Linked DNA regions of Tamandua tetradactyla. The protein of the gene in region 2 interacts with the protein of the main gene of each other region in a pairwise test. Links are inferred from orthologs where the notes say so. Each region holds a gene or a part of one and is shown on either strand. Other genes may lie near its edges.

Evidence for each region.
Region 1: the proteins of HOMER3 (region 2) and FRYL interact in binary tests that used the Homo sapiens proteins (3 or more experiments, as listed by UniProt). The two-hybrid records come from large-scale screens. The link is inferred for Tamandua tetradactyla from reciprocal best matches to the Homo sapiens genes HOMER3 and FRYL.

The regions. Positions count from the first base shown.
Region 1 is NC_135345.1:51,599,281-51,606,703, reverse strand, and holds the start of FRYL (protein furry homolog-like), read left to right. Parts: upstream 1-4,356; 5' UTR 4,357-4,625; intron 4,626-7,423. UniProt on the Homo sapiens protein: Plays a key role in maintaining the integrity of polarized cell extensions during morphogenesis, regulates the actin cytoskeleton and plays a key role in patterning sensory neuron dendritic fields by promoting avoidance between homologous dendrites as well as by limiting dendritic branching.
Region 2 is NC_135337.1:95,885,375-95,892,909, reverse strand, and holds the start of HOMER3 (homer protein homolog 3), read right to left. Parts: upstream 3,275-7,535; 5' UTR 562-3,274; exon of another isoform or gene 59-561; 5' UTR 1-58. UniProt on the Homo sapiens protein: Postsynaptic density scaffolding protein. Binds and cross-links cytoplasmic regions of GRM1, GRM5, ITPR1, DNM3, RYR1, RYR2, SHANK1 and SHANK3.

The DNA.
Region 1 (7,423 bases), on a different chromosome or scaffold from region 2:
AATGTTAATGAGGGGCTGAGGGAAGAGATTTTGGTTGACAGCTTCTAATAATTGGACTTTCTTTAATCTTACTGTACTGCTTAATAGATGGTGTCCACTCATGAGCTTTGAAGGAAACAAAGGGTAAAATTGTGTCGCTTCTGGGTGGAATTCGGAGATTCATTATACACTCTGGAGAATGGAGGCTTGTTCATCATTTTTCTCCCTATTCTTAACTCAGCACATAAAAGCGACTATATAAATGTATGGTGAATTGAAAAGAATTTGCAATAGAAAATGTAACACTTTTCTGAGGAAAAATAATTACTATCTAAACTCTGCTAGGTCTTTAAGGGGGGTAGTTTTGTATACAAACAGAGAGAATAAGTGATTATAATGTATTTCACCCTTTAAAAGTCTAACAAAGATCTACATAAAAGGCTTTTAGAGAGCTTTAGTCATATTGGCACATTAGGGAAATGTTTCTTTTTAAAGAATGGGGATCTGGCTTAGAGGTGGATAACAAAGATAGGGAGATACTGTCCATTTGCATGGGAAAGCACAAATTGTAACGTTCTCCAGGGTGGGACTTTGGGCTTAACAATAAGCATTCTTAAGAATGACCTGTACATTGTAATGTACAGCCTAGTGAATTTTCTAAATTATTCTTCTAGTTCATCAGGAGACTAGGCATATTGGCTAAAAAGTGATAAATGATCCTATTGTGCGCAAGTGTGAAATATTGAGGAAAAAAACATAAATTTTACTTGTAAGGTGATGATCTCAGTTATTACTGTGGACTGCTTTCTGAAATTATGAACCAAGTTTGCTAGTGTAACAAAATGACAATAACAGGCTGGGTATCATAAAGTAGGTGTTTTAGAAATAACTTGGAAACATCACCTAGAACTTGAACAAAACTGGCAGGTGTGCACATACCAGAAATACTGGGTGTCCGTCTTAATATGATACTAGATATTAGAAGATAGATTATATTCTCATGTAGAATATTAGAACTCAAAAGCAATCTCAAAGATTGACAGTAGTTGGCAGAAAATCAGAAGTATCTACTGCATCTTGTTTGTAGTACAAAATGGAAGGCTGTCTCTCTCTAAGCGAACTCGGCAGGTGAACTCACTGCCCTCCCATTACTTGAGACATAACTGCCAGGGGTGTAAATCTCCCTGACAAGATGGGACAGAACTCCTGGGATGAGCTAAGATCCAGCATCAAGGGATTGAGAAAGCCTTCTTGACTAAAAGTGGGGAGAGAGAAATAAAATAAAGTTTCAGTGGCTGAGAAATTTCAAACAGAAGTGAGAGGTTAGTTTATAGTGTATTGGAGTGGCTAGAAAATGAAAGTATTGAGCTGTGTCCAGTAGCCTTTATTTTTTTATTTTTTATTAATTAAAATAAAAAAAATATGACAATAAAAAAACACATTCTTAACATATGATCATTCCATTCTACATATATAATCAGTAATTCACAATATCATCACATAGTTGCATATTCATCATCATGATCATTTCCTAGAACATTTACATCAATTTAGAAAAAGAAATAAGACAACAGAAAAAAAATTCATACATACCATTACCCCTCCCTTTCATTGATCACTAGCATTTCAATCTAAGTTTATTTTAACATTTGTTCCCCCTATTATTTTTTTTTATTCCATGTTTTACTTGTCTGTTGATAAGGTGGATAAAAGGGGCATCAGATACAAGGTTTTCACAATCACACAGTTACATTGTGAAAGCTTTATCATTATGCAATCATCTTCAGGAAACATGGCTACTGGAACACAGCTCTACATTTTCAGACAATTCCCTCCAGCCTCTCCATTACATCTTGACTAACAAGGTGATATCTACTTAATGCATAAGAATAACCTCCAGGATAACCTCTCAACTCTGTTTGGAATCTCTCAGCCATTGACACTATTTGTTTCATTTCGCTCTTGCCGCTTTGGGTCCAGAAGGTTCTCTCAATCCCTTGATGCCGAGTCTGAGCTCATTCTAGCTTTTTCTTAACTCCTTGATGCTGAGTCTCAGCTCATTCTAGGATTTCTGTCCCACTTTGCCAGGAAGGTCCACACCCCTGGGAGTCGTGTCCCATGCAGACAGGGGAGGGCAGTGAGTTTGCTTGTCATGTTGGCTGGAGAGAGAGGCCACATCTGAGCAACAAAAGAGGTGCTTTTGGGGGTGACTGTTCGACCTAATTTTATGTAGACTTGACCTATCCTTTGTGGGGTTAAGTTTCATATGAACAAACCCCACGATTGGGGGCTCAGCCTATAGCTTTGGTTGTCCACACTGCTTGTGAGAATATCAAGAATTCAGCTTGGGGAAGTTGAATTTTCCCCCTTTCTCACCATTCCCCGAAGGGGACTTTGCAAATAAAATGCATTGCAGAGTGTTCAAATCACTCTGGGTTTTATCAGGGCATCTAGTAGGCTTGATTTTTGAATACGACTGTATACGACAACTTTTACAATGTGACTGTGCAATTGTGAAAGTGTCTGATGCTCCTTTTATCCAGGTTATGGAAAGATGAGTAAAAAAATATGGATAAAATAAATAGAAGGGATAAGGGGTAAAATAAATTGTATAGTTGGAAATACTAGTGGTCAATGAGCGGGGGGGGGGGCGGGTAAGGGGTATGGTATGAGCTTTTTTTTTTTTTTGGAGTGATGCGAATGTTATAAAAAATGATCATGGTGATGAATATACAACTGTGTGATAGTATTATAAGACACTGATTGTACACCATGTATGGAATGTGTGTGTGAAGATTTGTCAATAAAAATAAAAAAAAACAAGAACAAAACCCAGAAGGCTGAAAATAGGGGTTTAGTTTTAGGCACGTCGTAGGTAATTTATATTTGTGAAGCCCATATAATCCTGATTTCCTCATCTTTTGAACCCAATAGTTAATGTAACACCTACACCATTCCCTTTTCTCATTCCTGTTGTTCGATATTTATGGGCATCCACACGAGATTTTTCACCTGAGCTCATGAAAACGTTCGGTGGACTTTCAATGTTTATTTAGCCCTGTCTTACCACTAGTCTCCCCAGCAGGGGTACTTTTGGGCACTCCCACTTTCTGGGTACCACTGGGTTACGGTGGGGGTATGCACTAAAATCCCTGAGTTCAAAGTCTCTCAAAGTTCAGTAGCAAAAGAGGGAGAGGACACACAATCCTTTCCTCTAATATTCTTTGCTGGGTACCAAAGTAGTAACTGTACCCCACTGTCTTGGAAATTTTGGTAGAAACAATTCTTTTCGGTTCTCACAGCTCCAGTGGAAAACTCAATGGTAGAACCCATCAGTCTGTCCGCAGAATTTCTCCTGTCTTTTCATGGGTGAGGTTTTGCTTCAGGGTCAAGCTTCTGGTGCCAGGCTACCTTTCTCCCTAGGGAGAAGCTCCTGAGAGGAGTCACTATCCCTTAAGGAGTAGTCTTGCGCAGGACTGGGCTCCATCTGGGCTACCGTAGGCTTTAGGGGGAACCATTCATTTAATCTTTTCAAAAAAGTTTAGGTATCGTGACAAACTCCGGGGCGACACACAGGACGTGACTTACGTGGTACTTCTAATGGAAAGGTTTTAAATGATTTTTTTTAGATGAACGATTGCGAGACACGCAAGGAAACCTCCAGTTTTGCAGAAACCTTAAAGCTCTATAGAGTGGCGAAATGCCAGTGGAATAAACGCTATGAGTATAGTGGATAGTGAGTAAAAACTTGAAGAAATGATGCCAAGAGGAATTAGTACTAGAATTTCAGGTATTCTAACTAAATCTAAACACTCCATTCATTAGACCAAGGGATGAGGTTCCGTAGGATCCCAATGCCAGCTCCGATACATCGTTCGTTTGGAGAACATTTTGAATTTTTCTCTTCTCCCTTTCCGGCTTTCCCCGACACAGGCTGTGACTTTGTCCACGACCCCTACCAACATTTAAAGGGGAAGACTCTGAAAACAAGGCAAAGTAAGGGGGACTTTGCGTCTGTATTTCTCAAACCCGTCAAGGGAGAGCAGTAAAGGATAAGGGGCGTGCAGTCTACTTCTGCCTCGCCCAATCAGGTGCACAGGAAGATGCCCTTTCACCAATAAAAATAAAGTTCGCTTTCCGGAGGCGGGAGGGCAAGCCTTGACTGCCAGTTTTTCTAAGCAACGATGGAGGAGAGGACAGAGAATGATTAGCGGTAGGACCAACCCGGTAAAGGGGGAGAGGGAGGGGTGGGGATAATTCTGAGCGGCATCTAGACTGGCCAGTCGAGGACAAGGGTTGCTGTTCCTGGTGTAGTCATTCCCGCCAATCAGGAAGGCGAGGGGTGGGCGGGGCGGAGAAGAGGTGGGAAGATCTCGCTGCACCGCCGGGCGGCCGTCGGGTTCTGGGAGAGAGGGAGAGAGAGAGAGAGGGAGAGAGAGAGAGGGAGAGGGAGAGGGAGAGAGAAAGAGAGAGGGAGAAATCCGGTTAAAATCTGAGTCCGAGGGAGGTTTAACCACAGATCGGTTCCGATCGGATTATTCCTTAAAGGGGACGCGCCATTGTCAAGAGATCGGAGCCTAGGCGGCCCAAGGGCGGGGACCGGCGGCGCCTGAGGAGCGAGGCAGCTGCACTTGGACTGGGGACCGGTAGGTGTTGCCTGGGGAAAGGCGCTTCATTTCACTTTCTCTTCCAGCCCTGGGGCAGGCGCTGGGATGCTCGCCGGCCGGCGTCCGCAGCCCCTGCAGGAGTCGAGGTCGCCGGCCCTCGGGCGGCTGCCCTTCTTGTGGAAGCTGAGAGGGAGGCGGGCTAGGGTGGCTGGCGGGCCATGCTGCCTGGGGCCGAGACTCAGAACGGATACGGGTCGGCGGCGCACCCCCGCCTCAACCGATAACCCACCGGAGCGACGGCGGGTTCGCAGGCAGCGCAGCGCGCCCCTCGCGCGCTTCCTTTCCCTCGCGCGCCCCCTTCCCCTGGCGCGCCCGCCTCTCCTCGCGCACCCGGTTCCCCTCCCGCGCCGGCCGCCTCCAGCTCGGCGCTCTCTTTGCTCTCTCCGCCTTCTCGCGGATTCGCGGGAACCGCCTCTCCTGGAAGCAGGCGGCGGCGGAGAGACGGAGGGAGGTTGGGGGCCACAGCTTCTGTGCCGGGACCCTGAGAGGAGGGTTGAAGAGCAAATTTAGCGCGGTGGCCAGTAGCCCAGGCTGGAAGGGGCGGTGGGGGCCGGTGGAGCGCGCGGAGTCGCCGGTTCGGCTTTGTCCCCCCTTTCCTTTGCTCTGGTCTCCGCCCACTGTTCGCGGCCGTAGGGAGGGGTGCAGGCGAGGTCGCTGTATCCGCGTCGCTTCGGGCCCGGCCGCGCACCCCCGGACCTTATCAAGCCAGGATTGGTCAAGACGGACACCCAAGCCACAGCTGCCGGCCTGACCGGCCTGTCTTGGCTGCTCTCATCTCAGCACCCGCGCAGGCTGCCTGGACGCTGAGCTCCTGCAACTTTTCTCTGTCTTTTGATGGAAGTTGTTGCTTCCGGGCAGCAGGTTTTTGGGGTTATAGTTTCGTGTCCTTCATTTCTGGAGGGACTCATTTTAGGGCGAAATGGTTTGTGATTGCTGTCAATCTACTCTACCATCTCAGTTTTCGTTACTAGCCCCTTAAAATCGCACCTTTTGTGGATTTGCCATTATATGGAATCATTAACCTCTCCCAAACCAAGCTAATGTGAAAAGAAAAAAAGGGGAGGTATTTGTGGGGGACCAGAGTTCTAGGTAGGGCCGTATTTGCCTTACTTAACCTTTGAACTGTGAAAATATTACCTGGTTTCACTAGCGGAGGTTCTTTTTGAAGGCGAGGATTAAAAGAAACAGGTTGCTACGCTCAGTAGGATTAGGAAAAAAAGACTTGATGGAAAAAAAATTTGGCTTTGTAAAATGATGTTCTGCTAGCAGATATCTCCTATAAAGTTAATTTCTGCTGCTGAATTCCTAGGCATTATAATTCGTAATTGCAGCTTTTACTATTGATAAAACAAGTATGAGGTTTTTCATCTTGGACATTATACTGTACCATACCTGTCAGTACTTGCTATAGAAATATTTAGAATAGCACATCACTTGGTTAGAGACCTTATTTAGAAAAGGAATGTTTTTGTAATCATTCACTTTTGACAGTTTCTTCTTGTGCAATACTTTGTACAGTACTTACATATACAAGATACAGCCTTGCAAACGAAGTAGCAATGGGTATGTTATTCTGCAGTCTTTTGTTTGCTACTCATTATCAAAAGCAGCATTCCACTTTGTCCTTTCCTTCTCTGTGAGTTATTTTGTATGATTACTTCTCTAGAAGAATGGATTTTGTTGGAACACCTGGCCAGTGTTTTCAAATAAGTTTTTTTAAAGCAATACTAACAACTTCATAAAGTGTTCATTGATTAACTCACTGTCTAGTAACTTTCAGAGTGGTATGGCACATTCTCATAATTTAAGTTGTTAGGCTCATCAGTAATGACAAAGATGAAACTAAGGAAACTGATAACTAATTTCAGATACATGTTTGAAATATATTTTAGCTTCACAGAATTCAAGAAATGCAGATACACAAAAACATGACCTTTTGTAGTAATCTTCATAGTATCTTGCATTGTTACACCTGATATTCCTTTTCTTAAATTCTTTTTTTGTGATAAGGATGTTGGGTGAGTTCCCAAGCACAATCTTCCTGTCCAACTCATTATACAAAGTAGAAGTTGAAAACAAGTTTACAACTTTTTATCTTTGCTTGCTAATTTACCAGCTTATTTAAATAACAGAGGAGAGAATTACTAAACCTTTACAACAGTACATATGATAGTGTTACAGAAAACATTCAGGGAGAATTATCTGTGAAATATCTAGACTATGTTTCCTGGATGACATTTTATTCTGTGTGCTTTTCACATTGTTTTGTACACTTTTTTTTTTTTTAAAAATGTGTACATTGTCAAGACATTTCTTGAGTTGTGAACTGTCTATTTCTCTCCTGATTCACTTGTCACTGAGTACCTTTCTCATACCCAATAAATGTGTTGTTTCAGGTTTTACATTTGTGTTATAAAAAGGTAGTCTTCTACAAAAGCTCCTTGTTCAGAGAGGTATTTATTCTCTTAAATATCTCTCTGAACAAGTTACACGAAAGAATAGCAATTAGTTCACTGTCTGGGAGGAGATATATTAATCTAGATGCTCTTTGTTCTGTGTACAAATTTGTGATTTAACTGTTTATTGTATCTCTTCCACAAAAATCTTTTGTGATGGTGATTGCTTATTGTGACAGTTTTATTAGAACTAAGTTTAATCTGTCAACAAAATCTTTTGAGTACCCATTTATTTAAGGAATATTGTGGGAAGATAAAGTAGAAGTGGATGGCAGTCATTGCTCTCAGACTGGTACAGTTTAACAGGAAGATGCAAAATTG
Region 2 (7,535 bases):
CTGTAGCAAGGTGAGTTTTCATGCCAAGGGTGGTGGGTAGCCACAGCAAGATTAGGAGCTGGGGAGAGAGAGAGACATAGTGGGCAGGGTTTGCGTCCTCGGGAGAGAACAGGGTGTGCAGACCCTGACACTCTCTGAGCCTCAGTTTCCCCCTCCAGGCAGAGGTTGTGAGGCTCGGGCAGCCGCCGTTCATGCTGGGCCCTTGGCCTTGGGTGCCCGGGAGAGCAGCCTGCCCTCGCCTCTCCCACTTACCTTCTGCGGCCTGAAGGGAGCAGCTGGGGAAGAGACAGCCAGGGGTGGGGAGGGAGGCACGGAGGGGCGCGGGGGCTGGGTTCCCAACGGGTGGGGCCCACACAGGCCACGGGGCACCAACTGTTCTCCCGGGAGGGAGCTGGGCCTGGGTGACTCAGCCGCTGCCGCCTGCTCCCTCGGTCTGTGGAAGGGAGGATTCACCGCCCCCCCGGCACCCCCCCCAGGAGCCCCTGTCATCGGCTCCGGCACCTTCCGTGGCCCCTCGGGATCAGCCGAACCACCCGGCCTGGCCTCAGAGCCTTTGCTCACCACCGCACATGGGTCTGGAAGGCAGCTTCCCCCAGGTAAAGGTCAGCCAGAGGCAACGCTGGGCCTGGAACCGGGTGTGGGAGGCCACGGCCCCCTGCTCCCGCGGCCTCTGGAGTCTTGTTTCCCTGGAGGAGCAGGGAGCTTTTACCTGGCTGGAGGCAGAGCTGCTGCCATCTGGGCTCAGACTCAAGGATTCCCACTGGCCCTTCCCCACGAATGCACAGGGGGCCTCCCTGAGCCTCTGTTTCTTCCTCTGTAAAAAAGGGGCCTGTTGGTTCATTGTACTCGTGTTTACTACCCTGTCCCAGGCGACAGCAAATGAACACGGGAGCGATGCAAAGACTTCTGGGGGCATTCTGTGAAGGAAAGGACAGGGGATGGGGGAGGGGGGGCAGGGAAAAACGAGGGTGGCTGGGGACGGGGTGGGTCCCAGGGAAAGGCACCGAGGAGGCCCGAGCAGCCGGAGCAGGGAGAGTCAAGGGTGAGGGGCTCTGGGAGCTGGACCCAGCGAGGGGTGTGTGCTCAGAGAACTGGGGAGCCACAGGAGGCGTCTGAGCAGGGCAGGGGCATGATCTGAGTTGGCACTTGGAGGTGAGTCTCTGGCTGCTGCGTGTGATTTGGCGCCAACCTGGGTTTTTTGCAGAGGCTGTGAAAGCTGGGCTGGCTCAGACGCTCCATGCAAGGTACATCGTCCTTCCGCTGGGCCCTGAGCTCTGGCTCCCACCCCCGGGCCTCCACCCCCCGCCCTTCCTCCCCTCGGAGGCCCTGGGCCCTGCTCCTTTATCTCTGAAATTCCAAGCCTGGCGTGGGACGGAAACAGCTGCTTCCAGGGAAATCACAGGCCCCCAGCGCCAGGGAGGGGCCCCGAGGGAAGGGGGAGGAGGAAGTCCTCAGGCGCCGTACGTGTGGGGAAACGCCCGGGGGGAGGGCCTGGGTTCAAATCCTACTGCTTTGCGCTCCGCCAGGAGGTTCCCGGCAGCTGACAGACCCCTGCTCAGGCCCAGGACCATGGCTTGGCGACGGGAGATGCAGGGTCCCCTGCTAAACTTGACTGGGAGCTTCAGCCAGGCCTGGGCCTGGGGGGGAAAACGAGGCTGGGGGTGGGGCAGGAGCAGAGGGCCCACCACCAGAGAAGGAGTGCAGGGTACTGCGTGGGTGGGCTCAGCCTGGGGCCTGTGCATCCCTGCTAAATCTTGAGGAACCCAGAACCTAGGCTGGCAGAATTCCAGGAACTGAGGTCCCTGCTCCCCAGAGCTCTTCAATTCTGTGTTATAGCAAAACCCTAAAGAAAAGGGGACCAAGGGGAGGGAGGCCAGAAAGGGGAAGGCCAGCCCGTCCTCATGACCTGGGGATCCCCCAGCTTCCATTTCCAGCCTGGGCCGAGCTCTTGGGGTGTCCCTATCATTCTGGAGGTGCCCTCCACTGGTAAGGAGCAAGCTGGGGAGAGGAGGAGCTGTAGGTCCTCTCAAACCCTGTTCAGGGGTGTGGGGGCCCTGGTCTTTCTCAGGGGGCCTGGGCAATTGGGCACGTGACCCCAAACCAGGCACCAGGCCTAGAGGGGGAGGAACGGGGTGGGGTACGAGCCAATGTGCAGGGCTTGGGGAGCAGTGGGCCACCCCGTCTTCCTGGGGGGCTCCCAGAGCTGAGCCAGGGATGGCCCCTGAGACAGGTAGGCGCCCTCACTGTGCCCCCACGCCTTCCTCCAAGGGGCGCCCAGCTCCTGGGGGTCCCTATGCCACAGGAGACCCTGGCTGTGGAACAGGGGTGCCACCAAGTAGGGGGCACAGGCCCTGGGCAGCCCTCGGGGGAGGCTCGACTGGGGAGGGGGCTGTGACAGACAGTGCCGAAGCTGCCCCCGCTGGGAGTTCTGGACGGGCCTCTCTGGGGGGCCAGCAGAGGAGGAGTTAGGGGGTACTGGGGTTGAGGAACAAACCCCACCTTGTCACTCCCTGGCTCCTTGGTCCACCCAACTCACCCCCCACCCATCCACCCATCTGTCCATCCAATAATCCGCCCTCCCCCCTATTCACACATCCACCCACTCTTCCACTCAGCCAGCCATCATCCACCCACCCCTACCATGCACCCCCCCCATCCACACATACCCCCACCCATGGACATGTAGTACCCAAGCTTTGGGGTTCCTGCCGTGAGCTCTGCAGCCCTCGGCAGCCTGCTCACTCCCCTTGTTCCCCTGCCCAGCAATACCGGCTTTCCTGAGCACCCCCGCATGGGAGAAGCCACCCCACTTCAGGGCCTTTGCACAGGCTGCTCTGCCCCAACCTGAGCCCATGGCCAGGCCCCCTGCGCCTCAGCTCAAGTACCACCACCCTGGCCAAGCGGCCCCAGTCTCCGGGCAATGGGGGAAAGCTGGGTGCCGGGCAGCCCTCCTTTCTAAGATCCAGTCTCTACCTCCTGCCGCCCAGGAGGGCCCCAGAAGACAGCATGGATGCATCCCTGCACAGTCCCGGAACTGAGGATGCCTCCTGACGAGCCGCTGTAGGGAGAGAACCCGTTCGTTCACACGCGTGTGTGCGGGAAAACAAAACAGGACACCACGTTCCATGTCAGGGAGCCACGCTAGAGAAGTAAAATGATAGGTGAATAAATGGGAGCATGGCCCACTAGAGTGGCTCAAGGTCAGCCCTGCTCCAGGGAAAAGGTCGAGAAGGGACAGAAGGATGACTGAGGTGGCAATTCCAGAGGGCGGCTGCCCTGGGGCGGCAGCCCTGGCTGCGGAGGCCGAGGGGCTGGGGGGGCAGGAGGCCGAGGGGCTGGGGGGGCAGGAGGCCGGGGGGCTGGAGGGCAGGAGGCCGGGGGGCTTGGGGGGGCAGGAGGCCGGGGGGCTGGGGGGCAGGAGGCCGGGGGGCTGGAGGGCAGGAGGCCGGGGGGCTTGGGGGGGCAGGAAGCCGGGGGGCTGGGGGGCAGGAGGACGGGGGGCTGGGGGGGCAGGAGGCCGGGGGGCTGGGGGGCAGGAGGCCAGGGGGCTGGAGGGCAGGAGGCCGGGGGGCTGGGGGGGCAGGAGGCCGGGGGGCTGGGGGGTAGGAGGCCGGGGGGCTGGGGGGCAGGAGGCCGGGGGGCTGGGGGGCAGGAGGCCGGGCCGGCACGGAGCCGCGGGAGGGGCCGCACGGGAGCCAGGACCAGGAGGTCGGCCGGGCCGCGTTCCCTGGGCGCCACCCTCACCGGCACAGACCCGGGACCACCCCCCACCCCCCACGCACCCGCACCCCCTCACCCGCCCCCATTCCCCGTGCTCCAGGCGCCTCCACCCCACCACCCCCAGCGCAGCCCAGCCAGTCTCTCCTGCACCCTCCGACCCTGCCTCCCCTCCCTCCCCTCCTTGTGCGCTGCAGGCTGACGCCAGCGCATAAAGGCTGGGCTCTGACCCCCACCTAGGCCCCCCCCCCCCCACCCCCCACCCCCCACAGAGTTCCAGCCTCATTCACCCACCCTGAGCTTGGCGCGGCCGTTCGCGGCGCTCCCAGACCCGCGCATGCGCACGGGCCGCTTCACGTCACAGCTCCGGGAACCGCACTCTACGCGGGTCCTACAATTGCACATGCGCACAGCCCGCATCACGTCACTCATTTCTGGGAGACACACGGTACACAGGCCTAGAACCGCGCATGCGCACGGCACTCCGCCTCACACAACTCTTGAGAAAGGGCCGACCTGTCCAGCGGGTCACAGCTGCCCCCAATCCATGAAGGCCTGACCTGCGGCTGCAGCTCTCCGCATGCGCACAAGGGGACCCGCGCCCACCAGGGTTATGCCCCCAGACCCGGGCACCCGCCCAGCTCCATCCTTCCTGGGTGCTGGGCGCCGTGTTCACAGGCATTGGTGTAACGTCCCCAGCCTGCTCCCACACCTTCCCTGAAACAGATCCCTGCACTGAGGGCGCCACCTGCGCCCTGCTCCCTGCTGTGCAGCTGTCCTGCACACACAGGGCCTTAGACTCCTGAAAAATCAACCCCCAGAGTATATCAGTCAAGACATCTACATGCAACGGGGACAGCCAAAGACCACCAAGCATATCACAGTGCAGACAGATGCAGCCCCATCTGATGACCAAAGTGAAACACCAGAGGAGATGCAGAGGCTGCAACAACTAACCAAGGATGCTCACACAACTCTCCCTAATAAATAAAATAAGTGGGACAGCAAATGACATAAAGGAGCTCAAGAAGATGGTAGAAGAGCATAAAGAGGAATTTGAAAGAATAAACAGAAAAATAGCAGGGATTAAAGACTCTGTTGACCAAATAAAAAACAGCAGAGGCATGCAACACCAGATGTGAAGAGATGGAAGAAAGGGTAAGGGATGTAGAGGACAGGATAACTGACTTCGAAGACTCAAAACAGCAAATAGCAAAAAAGATGGAAAAAAATGAATGGGAACTCAGGGAGATGATAGACATAACAAAGCACAAAAATAAAAGCTCCAAAGAAAGGGAATAGATAGGATGGAAGGTGGTTCTCAAGGGGGTCTAGAAGTGATATTACCATATTGAAGATGAACAAGATTGAAAGGGGTTGTATAGACCTACGTGTCCCACTGACTCACACTGGAAATATGAATCAGTTCTCGTAACAATTACTTCAAAGATATGATTCTTGTACAAAGCGTATTTAAGTCCAGGGTATGGGGGAAAACTGCTCTTGCATGCTATGAGCTATGTTCAAAAGGAAACCATCAGCACTACCACAGCATCAGCAGAGGTAAATAATGGGGGAAGGGGACAAGAGTTAAGAGGAGGTTTAGATTTCCTATTTGGTGAGGGTGTATTTATTGGTTTTCTTTCTCTTGGGAACAATGAAATTATCTAAATTTGAGAATGTGGATGAACTGTGGACTCTGAACCCTCTACATGATGCCCGATGAATGCAGGTGGCTGAAGGATGCACTGACGGAGAAGTAGGTTGGCAAACTATGATATATACTTATGAATGAAGGCTGTGCTGCTACAAAAAGAAACAACGTCGTGAGGCATGCAGTGATGTGAATGAACATGTGGGACGTTTGGTGAGACAAAGTAAACCAGAAACAAAAGAACAACAATGGAATGGTCACCTTAAGAAAATGCCTGTAAGAAAACAGGGACCTAGACTGCAAGCTTTTAGAGCAGACACATTAAGTCCAGAGTGGTGATTGTTATTTCTGAATTTCAAGAGGCTATTTTATATACATAACCTGATATTTATAAAAAAGAACAATGCTGAAAAGGTTGGGGTTAAAGTAATTCAGAACACGGGGGTAAGGAAGACAGTGTTTATATTTTAGAACAACACATGCTCTTTGAGACCAATGGAAGAAAGATTTATTTGATCTGGAACTAAACTTTTTGGTAGTGCATAATCTAATTCAACCTATCTGTATAGCTCATGTGAACATTTGAAACATAGAAAGCACATAATAAGGAAGAGGTCCTTTAATTCTGTATAGATTATTGTAATGCCTGGAAACATCTTACAGTAAATTGAGCAGATGATCAGAAAGTATTGGGAAAGTTCCCTGAGGGAGAGGAGAAAGACTATGGAACTATTAAACCTTACCATCAGGGAATCCCCTGATACTGTGTCAAACATTAGGGACACCCAGATCAATAGGCCATGCCCCTGATCATGAGGCTCACTCTTTTTTTCTTTTTTAACTTTTTTTATTAATTAAAAAAATTAACAAACAAAACATTAAGATATCATTCCATTCTATATATACAATCAGTAATTCTTAATATCATCACATAGTTGCATATTCATCATTTCTTAGAACATTTGCATCGATTTAGAAAAAGAAATAAAAAGACAACAGAAGAGAATTAAATGAGGCTCACTCTTGTGAAGCTTTTGTAGGTAGCGGAGAAGCTTAGATTACCTATAGGATGCCTAAGAGTTCCTTCTGGAGGACCTCTGTTGCTGCTCAGATGTGGCCTCAGTCTCTCTAAGCCCAACTCTGCAAGTGAAATCAGTGCCCTCCCCCTAAGTGGGACACGACATCCAGGGGTGAACGTCTCCCTGGCAGCATGGGAGATGACTCCCAGGGATGAATCCAGACCTGGCACCATGGGATCAACAATTCCATCCTGACCAAAAGGGGGAAGAAGTGTAATTAATAAAGTATCAGTGGCAGAGAGAGTTCAAATAGAGTTGAGCAGCTACTCTGGAGGTTGCTCTTACACAAGCTTCAGGTAGACCTTGCTACCTGTCATAACCTGCCAACCCCCAACCAGGACCATTCCAGTCAATCTTAAAGAACACCTGGGGCAATATATAAGATTCCACAAGGGTTCCAGGCACTAGAGTAATTTTCCAGAAACCTACAACCTCCAGATGAGTCCCCATCCGGATAAGTCCTGAAACCTAGTCCAGCCTCTCCAGAACATCAGATAGTTCCATCTCCCTACCCCATGTTAGCGACAGCCCCTTCCAATATCAAAAATTTAGAATGGCCATAGCCCAAACAACCCTAAAGAGAGGGATGGAAAGATGAAAGGTGATGGTGGATTTATACAGAGAAGATAGGATTTAACAAATGAATATGATTGCTGAATCATTAAATTGCTATCTCTTTTGGTCTGCAGTATTTTGAAGGAGCTGGAAGTAAAAATCTGAAATTGTGAAACTGTAACCCATGTCAAACTCTGAAATATGTTCTACAACTAATTGTGGTGCTGTGCTTTGAAATTTATAGCTTTTTTGTATATATGTTATTGTTCACAAAAAAAAAAGAAGAAGAAAAAAAAGCTGATTGTGATGATAAAAAAGTATTTAAGCCCTCTAGCTTTCTATATTCTGGAGCAGCTAGAAGGAAAAACATGAGAGGATTGTGTGGTAGCCCATGACAAACTCTGGGATCTGTCCTGTAATCACTTTTTGAAGAGTGTCTTGAAAACTATTGCTTTTTATTTCTTTGCTTTGTGTATATGTTATACTATACAATAAAAGAGTTTTAAAAAATCCCTTAAAAAAAAAAGTCG